2 linked regions of the Mytilus edulis genome follow. The protein of the gene in region 2 interacts with the protein of the main gene of each other region in a pairwise test. Links are inferred from orthologs where the notes say so. Each region holds a gene or a part of one and is shown on either strand. Other genes may lie near its edges.

Region 1 (6,852 bases), on a different chromosome or scaffold from region 2:
TTTCTAAATACTTGACACTTCAGAACCTTTATTAACCGGTTTCACCGTGACTATATGCAATAAGTCACCTATACCTGTCACTATGTACATGCAGTGTTTGTATATAAGAAGATGTGGTATGAGTGCCAATGAGACAAGTCTCCATCCAAGTCACAATTTATAAAAGTAGACAATTATAGGTCAAGGTACTGTCCTTAACACGGAGCCTTGGCTCACACCGAACAGCAAGCTATAAAGGGCCCAAAAATTAATAGTGTTAAACCATTCAAACTGGAAAACCAACTGTCTTATCTATATTAAAAACCAGAAACAAGAAACACTTATGAACGACATCAACAAAGTTAACTATTGAAGTTCAGATTCCTGACTTAGGGTCTTACTTAGGACAGGTGCAACAATTATACACTTAACGATTGCCTTATTTTTTAATTATGCAAAAAAATCACATCAACTGATCAAAAATTCATATAAAAAATAGAAAATTGTACTGTCCAATACCCTAATGACAAACTTGACATAGCATGTACCCAAGTTTTTAAAACCAAAGACTTTCGGAACAAGAAAATTGCACCTTTTCTACCTATAGGCAAATCACACTTTTTGCCAAAATTCTCAAATAAAGAATTTTATTATATATTTTAACATATATCATCATTCATGTTAACAAAACAAAACCACTTTTGATAGGAACTATTTTCTCATATGTATACAATGAACATTAAGAGAAATTGATTGTTGTCTTTGACTTATGAGACCCCTTTTCAACGTGAAAAAGTTGATATGTGTAGTGTTTGTTATTTTAATCCTACTTGTAATTTGTTTTTGTTCACACATTGCAGTCAATAATATGAAATTTTATGCGACTGTCAAATAAGTGAAAGGTTAGCTAGCTATAAAACCAGGTTTAATCCACCATTTTCTACCTTAGACAATGCCTGTACCAAGTCAGGAATATGCCAGTTGTTTTTCATTCGTTTGATGTGTTTGAGCTTTTGATTTTTCCATTTGATAAGAGACTTTCCGTTTTTACCTTGGAGTTTGACATTTTCTATATTTTATATTTTGCAATGATTCATGTAAATCCCATAATAGATAAAGATTAAAAGGGCCCGGCGATGCAGCAACATTTTGGCACTGGTTAACACACACAAACATTGTCCTGTTGTGGCAGTAACAGTCCTTATACACATTCGAAAGATTTTAATGATTGAAAATATGTGAACGACCGTTAACGACAGAAAGCACAATTTTTGAATAATAACAGCATTGATATTTGCATGTACTATTGAAAATTTATCCACTATGGTCTTGCGTAAGGGAGTACGCATGTCATGCAGATCACAATCTAAATTTTTGACTTTAATATTTTAAATCAATCGCATTCAACTTGTGCTAAACTTTCAAGTACATGTACTTTTACATTATAAATAGACAAATTACAACAAAATTAAGCTATAAAAAGTCGGAAATTTGGAGAAAACAAATAATGTTTAATGGCAATAATTGTAGTGTTGCTGCAACAAGAGATACGAAATTTTGGAACATACTAATTTAGGTCTGCCTGGAGCTGGAATGTCAGTAACGACTGGTAGTCCTTTGCTAATTTATGTATTATGTCACTTTGCTTAGTTTCTTTTGTAGCCTGTTCTGACATCGGACTCTTAATTCTTTTACAGAGGCGGATTTAGGGGGGGGGGGGCAGGGGGCCCGCCCCCCCTTTTGAGAAAAAAATTGGTTGCTTATATAGGGATTCACTGAAGCGTGACGAGATCGGGCCCCCTCTTAAGCAGCCAGTGGGCCCCCACTTATGAAAATTTCTGGATCCGCCACTGTTTTAAACTTAGTTTTACTATGCGTTTTGCTATGTGTTTGTTTATTCTGTATTGGCTAGAGTTAAAGGGGAGGTTGAGATCTCATAAAAAATGTTTAACCTCGTCGTATTTTTGCTGCTGCTGTCCCAACTTGGCCTTTGTTAGTCATGTATGTTTTTGATTTTAGTTCATTTATATGTTTTGAAGTTAAGTATGACGTCCATTTTCACTGAACAACTGCACATTTTATTAAGGGGGGGGGGGGGGTGCAGCTGAGGCCCATCTCTGTGTGCGAGATTTTCTCGCTGCGTTGAAGACCATTTGGTGACCTTCAGCTGTTTTATGCTCTTTGGTCGGGTTGTTGTCTCTTTGACATATTCCCCATTCCCATTCCCAATTTTATTATGTTTAAAAAGTTAGTGGAATACGGTCCGTTTGTCCTACATAAATAATAACAGACACGGGTAACAAAATTGTCAATCACAATGTCACACGAGCTTGCTTTTCTACAGAAATAGCTGATTTACCATGACATTAATTTTGGACCTGGTTCGGGTTCCTATGCAAAAAATCCAAGAAAATCGCATTAAAGTTTTTCTTTTTAGTTGAAAATAATTCTTGAAATTTGTACATGAATATATCAAAGGGAACTAGAAGCATGTTCTTCGTCCTACAAACGGATTACATTTATTATTAAATAACAAGTTTTAATTTGTTGTCTTCTTTAATACACATTTCTATTTGGTTGCAAAGCTGCCAGTATCTGTTTAAAAGTTTTGTTTTTGTTTAAGGTTTTTTTGGTTAATCCGTTTTATTTTGTGTTGAAACATGTTTTAAGTTTTACTCTTAACCAGGTTATTGGTTAAATTCAACCTCAAACATGTTGAAAGAAAATAAAACACGCCTATAATACACTCAAGAAGAGTCGGACTCTGAATTGAAAGAAGAAAACGAAAGTAGATTATCGAAACACGTCGTCTCTCACCGTTACTGCTACTTCATCATCTGCCAAGATAAGAGCGGCATATACGCAGGCAAGTTCGTCTTTTGATGCCATTGTTAGTTGTGTATTACAATTTAGGGACGATGTCAAATAAAACAAAATGTAGGTCGCCGATTGGCCTTAGCTTTGAAAGAACACCACACTTTTGTTTTCAAGCAAATGTGAAAAGGACGGAAACGGAAGTAGAGTCTCAAAGCTGAAAAAAGTTTTTGACTATTTCATCTAAGGGATTCATCAACCAAACGATATCAAAATCTTTTGTTAAATGTATGTATGTGGGTTAGCAAATATCTATTTGATATGGATACAAAACTTTGTTTTTTTAGAGATTTATCAACGTTGCATTAGCGATCTGTACTTCCGTTTCCGGTTGTTGTTTCTATTTCGAAAGTAAACATGTGGAAAGTAGGAGCTGTGTTGTTACTTGTTTTTTCTGCTGTTGTGACTGCTGACAATGATGATCATGGATCTGAAGCTGTGTCACATACAGCCGATAGTTTTGCTACCCAAGTGGAGGAGACAAAACAATTTGTTATGTTCTTTGCCCCATGGTGAGTGACTTTCAAAAATTGTACAGTAGTTTAGTTATCTGTTAGTCCAAATAATTATGACGTCTGGCAAGGCTATTTTAATTTTTTTCTAGGACGCCTTCCTGTCCCAGAAAAAAAGTAAAATAGCCTTGCCAGACGTCATAATTATTTGGACTAGTTATCTGTCTACTGCAGTATACTTACACTAAAATTGAGAATGGAAATGGGGAATGTGCCAAAGAGACAACAACCCGACCATAGAAAAAAACAACAGCAGAAGGTCACCAACAGGTCTTCAATGTAGCGAGAAGTTCCCGCACCCGGAGGCGTCCTTCAGCTGGCCCCTAAACAAAGATATACTAGTTCAGTGATAATGAACTCCATACTAATTTCCAAATTGTACACAAGAAACTAAAATTAAAATAATACAAGACTAACAAAGGCCAGAGGCTCCTGACTTGGGACAGGCGCAAAAATGCGGTGGGGTTAAACATGTTTGTGAGATCTCAACCCTCCCCCTATACCTCTAGCGAATGTAGAAAAGTCTTTCATTTTATAAATTTATTTAACTTGTTTATTTTTTGTTTGTTATTTTTTCCCTTTATTTGTTTAAAATCATTCACTTTGTAAGATTGAAATACAACAAACTTGTTCGGACCACATCTAAAAAGAAACGAAAATACTGTAAATGTTCTGTTGTCAGTGATTTTTAGTTGTAACGTTATTGAATGTAATCAATACACCTTATCACTAATCCCGGCTGACCCGGCCGCTTGAACTTTTGACGCATACAACAATCACTTTTCCATTGTGGCATCAGATATTTTGTTTTATGACGTAAAATTTTTACGGGAACCTGTGTGATATCCAGTAATGGAGGACAAATAGCAATAAGGTGTATGTAAACAAAGAAAAGCTATCATCAGGTAATGTTTTTTTCATATCAAAGAATTAATAAAAACAAAATTGGTATGAAGTTCTTCCTTATTTTACTAGACTGATAAATATATATTTTACTTAAAGACTCATGACTACATGACTAACAAGACTGGAAGAAGGAAGTAGATTTCTGCGCAAATGCGTGATAATAAAAAAAGTCTAAAAATAAATGTTCACTTTTTTTGTCACATATTGTTACTATAAAATTAATGGAAATAGAAATTGAAATCAGCCACCAATGGGTCTTCAACACAATGAGAAAATCAAGCACAAGGAGACAATGGGAGACAAGCTTCAGATATTTATTTAAATTTTCAAATCAGATGTTATTGGTGATTTTATACATAAATTGTAACTCATAACAATACATTGTAGAAGGAATCAGGTCCCAGGGACGGATCCAGCCATTTTGAAAAGGGGGGGCTCCCATCCCAGGATAAAAGGGGGGGGGGTTCCAACTACATGTCCCCATTCAAATGCATTGATCGTCCTAAAAAAAGGGAGGGGGGGGGGGTTGCAACCCTGGAAACCCTTCCCTGGATCCGCCACTAGGTCCACAATACAACTGCAACTACAGAAACAGAATAAATTCAAAATGTTTGTCTAGTTAGTATTCTTTTTGATAAACAGTTATTATATATATGGAGGAAATCATATGACTTTCAACATGGCAGCATTTGTCTAATTTTGTCAACAGAATAATGTGTGCAAGCTCAACTGTACGGGAAAAAAAATGTGGAATTATAGCATATTTTAACTTGAAACATTTGTGAAAAAATCTGTAAAAAAAAAAAAAATAGGGAAACATGTCCAATTTTGGTCCTGTTGTTAGGGATTTCAGTTGTGAAGTTGTTTTCAATGTCAACTTAGAGACACTTATCATTCAGAAAATAATTTTAATTTCATATCAAAGAATTTAAAAAAAATATATTTATATCAATGAAGATACATGTACCAAGTCAGCTTGTTAATTTTGATCAGATACTAAAAATTTACAGTTGATTTATCAGGTAAGGTTCCAAAGAGAACACAATTTATATGCCTTATTTTTATGTTGATTAATTATAAGGTCCAGACTCATTTTGAAATGTAAAAAATTTATTTAAATTTTTCACCTGGCATTTTTTTTTTCGTTATAAAAACAACAAATTTGCAGGAAAGTCCGAAACCATTATGATTCTCATTCCAATATTTTACTGAGTCTCTTGATAAACAAGACCTAAAGAAAGAACAAGATTGTTCCACAAATAAGGTAAACTCAAAGTTGGAAGAAGTAAAAGTTAACGATTCTAAGTTCGTTGGTCATGTTGGTAGATTGACTGTTTTCTTTGTTTTATTAATTTTCTTACTGTTATCAGGGACTTTCCCCCTTTGTTTAATTGATTTTCTTACTGTAATCAGGGACTTTCCCCCCATATAATGTGATAATTGTCAGGTCTTGAATTGGATATATGATAAAACAGATGCTTCATGACAAGCTATTGGATTTGGAAGTAGAAAGAATGAAATAAAATTGCAACAATTACCAATGATTATCATTAAAAAAGATGATGATTGAATTTATATTAAAAAAATATTTAATTTTTTCTTTGGCCTTAAATCATGATTTTTAGCAATAATCTATTTTTAACTGCTGACGTGGCTTAATTTCATATGCTGATACAAATGAATACAGTTTTAAAAATTCCTAGTATTTCCATTTATTCAATACAAAAGTTAAAAGTCATTTGATGGTTGTATTTAAATCATAGACTCACATTAACTTGTTCCATTTAAATGCTGATGAGAAAAGGTGATTTATTAGGAATAATTCATGAATTTTAAATTTTTAATGACTGAATGATATTAGATTTGTACAATTTGAGGAATTGTATTTCAAATTTTTCCTTTGTTTTTAATTGATTTGAATTATTTTATGGGTTTGTACTGTGGAATCTGTGACAATTAAATTATTTGTGACTATTTTCTCAGTATCTATATTGTTTAAAATAATGTAATTGCTTGGCTTTGATATTAAGATGGTCATTTAATAAAAAACCCAAAAAACCACATTAGAATATATTTGAAGGTCCCTTAGTTAACTGCTAGTAGTCTGTTTTTATTTATGTATTATTGTCATTTTATTTATTTTCTTTTATCTTCTGACATCGGACTCGGACTTCTCTTGAACTGAATTTCAATGTGCGTATTGTTATGCGTTTACTTTTCTACATTGGCTAGAGGTATAGGAGGAGGGTTGAGATCTCATAAACATGTTTAACCCCGCCGCGATTTTGCGCCTGTCCAAAGTCAGGAGCCTCTGGCCTTTGTTAGCCCTTGAAGGTTTTGTAGGACTATAGGAACAATCTTTCACGTAAAACCCCCATGGGCATTTTGAAAAATTGGCAGGTATGTCATTAAAGTCAGTCATTTTAAATTGTGGATCACCTATAAAAGATTTTTTTATTGTTTATGTGCACAACTATAGAACCACTCAAACAAGATAAACAGTGATATATACATATATGCCTTTTAACTTTTAAAAATGAAAAATTTAAAATGGATAATAATGATATATTCATCAAAGCAT
Region 2 (7,501 bases):
TGACATGACTAAATACCACGTGTCTGCAATCACCAATATCGACATGGAAATATGCAATCACAAACAATATTAAAAAAAATACACTTATTTTTTTTTACGCAAAATGTGATGCTATCCAAAATTTCTGGGGAGAACACTGTTAATGAAAAGTACAAGTCAGTGTTCTCCCCAGAAATTTTTACGTTAAAAAAAATAACAGTATTTTTTTTAATGTCATTTGTCGCGTCGTGTTGATGCTCTATTTCCTTTATATGTTTTAGTTTATATTGTTCAATTCATAACTGAGAATACAATTAAACTGTAACCACAAAAACAGTTGTTTCAGTTTATGTTTTCTTTATTCATTTATAGTAATCAGAATTATTTTTTTCCTTTTGTGCCAAATAAAAATAAATATGTGGTTTCAGTTACCCAATAATAAGTCAAATGAATGAATGGTTCATTATAGTGCAACCGGTATATATATACAAAACTAAATATTTAGTACACAAAATTAACAATTTTTTATATTATTTTAAGTAAAGATAAAGTAGCCAAAAAAATCCTCAATTTAAAAACTTTTTTTTATCATGTTTATGAAATTCATTGTTTCATGGCACTCAATGAATTAGTCCCAGTTGTTTATCTTTACATCAAAATGATATGTATTTTTAACAAAGTCATCTAACAAATAGTCTGTTAATACGTAGTTTTCTTTCGTGGTATATTTTTTCTGTCTACTGTCCATCTGTTGTCATTATCGTGAAAATGCGGATTTTTGTCATATCTAGTCCGGTTCCTATCCGTAGTTTACACAAAAATGTGCAATGGCGGCCGTAGAAAAATTTACGAAAATGAGTCTGAGAATAAACATTGTTTGACAAGAGATTGTGAATGAATAAGACGCTTTTAATGCATTAAATGGATTAAACATAAACTTCAGCCAATTATGATAACTTTTTAAAGAAATATTAAACTTATTTTAGCTCTAAACCAAAATTCTCGCTCTCGTATTACTGGAAGAGAAAGAAAGTAATTTTTGGAGAGTTGCACAAATAAACGACCTTTTAAAAAAAAATAAAAATCGTTTCAATCTTTGAAATTTCGTAATATAAAACGTAGATTTCGAATTGTGTTGTGATTGCATTATTCCATGTCGAAATTGGTGATTGCAGACACGTGACGTGGTATTAATCATGTCACAAGTGACAGCTTGGGATATTCGCATCCAAACAGTTATCACCCTGAGGGCAATTAACACCTAGCTATTTAATCTCTTAATTGCCTTTCGTGTCCGACTTAAAGGGATTACAATTAAAGGTGATATAATTTTTATGATCATAATCAATAATAGATGAAAGTTCAAAATTGAGGACAAGTAAAATAGCATCTTCAAAATAATTATAGCGTGGCGGGAATAATTATAGCGTTGCGGTAATAATTATAGCGTCGCTGGAATTATCATAGCATCACGGTGAAAAAATATAGCGTCGCGGTACCGCGACGCTAAAACGGCCTGGGGAGAACGAATCCGGGTCCGTTTGCGCCCATTCACGTTCGCACCCACACATGTTCGCCCCCTTTCATTTTCGCACCCTACATGTTCGCACCCAAAGTCCGTTCGCACCCTACATGTTCGCGCCCAATTTTAATTGGTTTTGTGTTTAATAACTTTGTAATCAAGTTTTGGCAAGTACGTAGTATTCTTATAAGTATAATTGTTTTCATGGTCTCAAAATAAAGTGAGACAGCATTTTTTTTGTGTTGAATAAATCTTAATCATGTTTTGGTTAGTGTATTGTTAAAAAAAATTATATTCCTTTCTAAATAAAGTGGGATTCTGTCAACGTTTTATTTTGTGTTGAAATTCAGTCATCTGTATATAATTTAATTAATTGTTTCCCTATGTTTTAAGGTGTAAATAGTTGCTCAAACTATACCCTTTGGGTAGTGCTCCACATTTAATGGAGGAATATACAAGAAACTGAACTGAACTGAACTGTTGAATAATTGTTTATCATGTTTTGGTTAGTGTATTGCTATAACTTTTTTTCATTGACTTGTTTCAAAATGAAGTGAGATTCTGACTACGTTTCTTTTTTTTTGTGTGTGTTGGATTAAATTTTATCATGTATAGTGATATATAATAGTGTATTGTTTCATTATTTCAGATCAAAGGGACCAAGCTGTTCAAAACAATTATCTTTTGTGTTTTTCATTTAAAATCTTCAATCTTTTACTCATACCAAGCTATAAATACATTCAGTATTTACACGAAAGCAATTAAAAACAACAATCATGATTTTCAAATTATTCAACTGGAATTTGAATTAAAATTGGGCGCGAACGTGTAGAGTGCGAACGGACCTTGGGTGCGAACGTGCGAGGTGCGAACGTGTAGGGTGCAAAAGTATATTGGGCGCGAACGGACCTGATACCGGGGAGAACACTGCAAGTATAATAGGAAACAAATTTAAAAAAAAGCTTAACATTTTATTGAAAAGGCAGAGAATTTTGAACTCGTATTATTCCAGGTCAAAATATCCAAAAGCGAGAGATTTTAATCCTGTTCGGGACTGGACTGGCAAGTGGGAGATTTCCGTAATTTTGTTGTTTGCCCTAGAGTCTCCCGCTCGCAATGTGAGGGTTAGCTGGTATGGTTCATGACCTGATTAAGTTGGGTCTGTGGTTTACGCATTCTTCAAAAGAACTAATTAACCAGGAACACTTATCCGGAATCATACAGATCCTGTCTTGCTGTTGGAGTGTTGCACTAGTACTAGTAGTAGTAGTCTACAAAAGAAAGATCATGAATTTCTGATAGATAAATTAAAAGACACATGAACCTATATGGCTAGAGTGCTTACAAATTGATTGGTCTGTCGAGAGTTATGAGAGGATTTGCAGTGCCATATTTTGGGAAGGATGCGGAATTAGATTGTTTAGGCCAACCGTGGGGAACGCCGTGTGCTCTTCCATGTGACGCCATTGTCAATGTTTTCCTACTTTATTCTGGTTCTTTTTATATTAATTTGAGGCAAATCAGCAACAAAATTACAAACAGGGAACCAGTTATTTTAGAAAAGTGCCCTTCTGGGTCTTTTAAGCGCTTTAAAATAGAAAATATTTCGTTTGTTTGAATTGCAGATAATTGACACTGATCAAATTAAAAAAAAAAGAGAATTGATTTCGAGATCGAACTATTTACCTATTTACGAACCTGATTTAAGACACCACCATGTCAGATTCAGATGCATGGAGCGATATCCAAGCTATCAAAAGCAAACAGAGTAGCTTGAGAGCTAAAATGCTCCAGAGACGAAAAGAAAGAGAGGAAATTGCAGCCGAAATCACCAAGTCTAGCATCTCACCAACAACAAGTAGTGAAGGTGAAACACCATTATCTGGTTCTCATTGAAATTGTCCATTTTGCAACTGAGAATTAGCACACAAAATAGCTGACCCATATATTTTTTTTTCCATTGTCGTTAATGTTGATCTTATTGCTATTTTTACACCATTTTACTGGAGGTCTCATGAATCTGGGTCTGTTCGCGAGCAATCACCTTCGCGCCCATTCACGTTGGCGCCCTTTCACTTTCCCACCCTACACTTTCGCACTCAAAGTCTGTTCGCACCCTACACGTTCAAGACCAATTTTTATGGGTATTGTGTTATACAATTTGGAATCGAGTTTGGGTAATAAAGTGCATGAAGTGTATTGCTATTTATAAATATTTTTTTCATTGTTTCTACATATAGTGAGGTTCTGATAACATTTTTTTGACGTGTTGAATAAATCTTTATAATACCGTTAAAGCAAGTGTATTGCTCTACATAAAAATGATTTGTTCATTTTTTCTAAATAAAGTGAAATTCTGACAATGTTTTTTATGTGTTGATAAAATCTTAATCATATTTCGTAAGTGTATTGCTATGAATATTTTTTTTTAAAAGAGATCAAATTTAGGAGCCAAGCTGTTAAAAACAATTATCTCTCGTGATCTTCAAAGTTTTACTCACTCATAACAAGATAAATACATGCAGTATTTACATCAAAGCAAGTTAAATCAACAATCATTATTTTTAGTAAAAGTGAATAGAAATCTATGAAATTTTAACACAAGGTTTATGACCACAAAAGGAAGATTGGGATTGATTTTGAGAGTTTTGGTCCCAATATTTTAGGAATTAGGGGCCAAAAAGGGCCCAAATAAGCATTTTCTTTGTTTTAGCACTATAACTTTAGTTTAAGTAAATAGAAATCTATGAAATTTTGACACAAGGTTTATGACCACAAAAGGAAGGTTGGTATTGATTTTGGGAGTTTTGGTTCCAACAGTTTAGAAATTAGGGGCCAAAAAAGGGCCCAAATAAGCATTGTTCTTGGTTTTCGCACCATAACTTTTCAAATTGGTCTACATTAAAGTCCAAAGGGTCCAAAATTAAACTAAGTTTGATTTTAACAAAAATTGAATTCTTGGGCTTTTTTGATATGCTAAATCTAAACATTATACAATGCATATTCACTTTTACTACCGACTGATAAATTAAAACAATCTTTACCATTCAGTGATAACAAGCACTTTATTTTATATTTTAATATTTTATGATGTACTTAAATGAGTAGTTATTGTTGCAAACTCCATTAGAAGTTTGAATTGAGATCAGTTTTGGAAAAAGGTAAACATGGTAAAGGGGGATGTGAAAAAAAAATGGGAGGGGGGGGGGGGGGTAAATTTTTCTCATTTCAGATTTCATAAATAAAAAGAAAATTTCTTTAAACATTTTTTTGAGAGGATTAATATTCAACAGCATAGTGAATAACTCAAAGGCAAAAAAAATATTTTAAGTTCATTAGACCACATTCATTCTGTGTCAGAAACCTATGCTGTGTCAACTATTTAATCACAATCCAAATTTAGAGCTGAATCCAGCTTGAATGTTGTGTCCATACTTGCCCCAACCATTCAGGGTTCAACCTCTGCGGTCGTATAAAGCTGCAACCTGCGGAGCATCTGGTTTGAATTTGAATTTAAATAAAAATTTTGTACAAGAACTTTTAATTGATTTTGCCTCAAATCATGAACTTTATTTTTCAGATACAAAGAGCCAATCAGAATCAGCAAGCCCTGTTAAAGCAATACCATCTACATCTTCCAGTCCAGTAAAGTCCACACCGGCTGCTGAACCTACAAAGATAGACCCTGTTCTAGAGAAGAAAGTAATGTTGGCTCTCTGTGACATAGATCTAGACATACCCTGTAGTTCTAATGTTATAGCAGAACATTCATCTAAAATACTCAAACAGACCGTTAAACTTGATGTTGTGGAAGAATTACTGAAGAAATTTGCAGGACAACAGCTGATAAAGTAGGTGAAATAAATATGAACATGATGAAAGAAATATACATGTATAAGATATGAGTTATATGCCAATACTAGTACTATAGCAATGCAGCTACACCAAAATATTTTTTTTTTATCTCTGCAGTTAATAAATGTAGATTTCCAAAACCAGGAGAAAATAAAATCCATATGCTTTAATGCTACATTTCAATATGTCATCATGGTCGTAAGGGATTGAAAGGTGTAGACATTTTGTAATCAGAGCAAGACAAGTTGACATGGAGTCAGGACAGTGTGTTCATGCAGTAAGTGCAGGATGGCATGTTCTCCTGTTGACTATAATAACCTTATGTCCTAGCCTGTTAAGAATCTATCGCAACCTGTCAGTGTAGTGCAACGCAGGGTATTATAATGACAATTTTCACCTCTGGATGTTAAGCAGCGATCAATCAATCAAACCATTATCCAAATAAAATATCCAATTTTAAGGTATATGAATACACCTTATCGCTATTTGTCTGCCATTACTGGATATCACACAGGTTCCTGTAAAATGTTGGCATCATAATACAAAATATCTGATGCCACAATGGAAAAGTGAATGTTGTATCATGTCAATAGTTCAAGCGGCACAGATTTTAGGTTCAGGAGGGAATAGGTCAATAGTTCAAGCGGCACAGATTTTAGGTTCAGGAGGGAATAGGGATACATTGTAAGGTGTAAAGAAATTTAAATATTTTAATGATGTAATATTTTTCTTTCAGTATAACAGTAAAAGATGACAGTTTAGAAGATGAACAAGGCAAAATTACTGTCAATAGTATGGATATAACTAAGGTCTGTCTTATTGTATAAATTATGAAAGATAGCAAAATTACATTATTTAAGAACAATATCAAGTTAGGGGAGGAATTTGTAAAAGTGGAAAATCTCTTGTTTTCAAATCCTAATAAAACTGGCATATTGTAATGTATACGTTAATATTTTCAAATGAAATATTGTTTACTCTATGTTAGGTCTCAATTTACTGTCAATGGCATGGCTATATATACAGTCCGCCAAAAGTTAAGCACCACCTACTTTTATTGCATCGATTTTTTTTCAAATTTAAAAAATCAATTGTTCCTCGAAAAATAGAAAACAATCATATAGCAATTTTGCTAATGTATACCATTAACAAACCACAAATATAATTTTGGTCACTTATGAAGGTTCTATGCATATAGGTTTTTCGTTCATAGAAATAGTGTAAATTACACAATTAAGAAATGGAATTTAAGTTTCACTGTGATTTTATTTTTTTACAACAATTAATCACCCAATACCATTAAAATTTTCTACACATAATCTTTGGTATGTTTGGCAAATTTAATGTCAATATTTGAGTCAATAGCATGTGTAACAACCTCATTTCCGGTACAGTTTCATAACACGACTATCTTTCTCGGTACAAGCCTTCAAAACTTTAGTTGAGGAAATCTGTTGCATTAAACAAATATGCCACTTTTAAATCGACAAACTTTTGTAAAGGTGAATCTCGATTGAGATTTCCGACAATGGCATCTCAGACATGTTTGATAGGGTTCATGCATGGAGTCAAGGAAGGCCAAAAATTAGTGTAAATGGCTGGTTGCTCTTTGGACACGGTTAAAATTCTTGCCCTGCGTGGTATAGCGTTGTCATTCAGGTACAAGTGTCTTGACAATGTTGACGCAAGTGGGGGATTACTAAAATGACGGACTACAATATGTTAAGGCACCAAATCTCTGTATGTCTGTCCGTTTATGTTACCCTGCAGAATATGCATACCCAGCTTATAACGGTATAAGAAGCAACCCCGTACTGGAACACAACCAGCAATGCATGCAGTCCTTGTGCAAATATTGTTTTTGGTCATAGGCCGTTTTTTTCCCCTGCGAAATTCGTATTATGGCGTCTTCTGGCAGTAAAGGAAACTGACTCCCATCTGACCAATGAGTGTTTTGTCAGGTTCTTATGTTCAAGCATAGATGTTCATTATCCCATTTAAACCTGACGGTAGAGTGCCTGCTTGAAGGTACAGGTCTCTATACACCACGACGTGCTCTTCGTTTGCCTCTATAAAGTGACGGACCAATGTACGAACACTTACACGACCACCTGGAGAAACAGTGTATTTATAAACGCACATATG

Evidence for each region.
Region 1: the proteins of cleavage and polyadenylation specificity factor subunit 5-like (region 2) and large ribosomal subunit protein P1-like interact in a two-hybrid assay, tested with the Homo sapiens proteins (2 studies listed by BioGRID and IntAct). The link is inferred for Mytilus edulis from reciprocal best matches to the Homo sapiens genes NUDT21 and RPLP1.

Annotation. Positions count from the first base shown.
Region 1 is NC_092355.1:8,605,379-8,612,230, forward strand, and holds the start of large ribosomal subunit protein P1-like, read right to left. Parts: upstream 3,002-6,852; 5' UTR 2,869-3,001; coding exon 2,797-2,868; intron 1-2,796. Other genes in the region: thioredoxin domain-containing protein 5-like, read left to right, coding at 3,211-3,365. UniProt on the Homo sapiens protein: Plays an important role in the elongation step of protein synthesis.
Region 2 is NC_092348.1:95,908,150-95,915,650, reverse strand, and holds the start of cleavage and polyadenylation specificity factor subunit 5-like, read right to left. Parts: upstream 3,003-7,501; 5' UTR 2,969-3,002; coding exon 2,847-2,968; intron 1-2,846. Other genes in the region: N(6)-adenosine-methyltransferase catalytic subunit METTL3-like, read left to right, coding at 3,218-3,368, 5,082-5,352, 6,093-6,165. UniProt on the Homo sapiens protein: Component of the cleavage factor Im (CFIm) complex that functions as an activator of the pre-mRNA 3'-end cleavage and polyadenylation processing required for the maturation of pre-mRNA into functional mRNAs.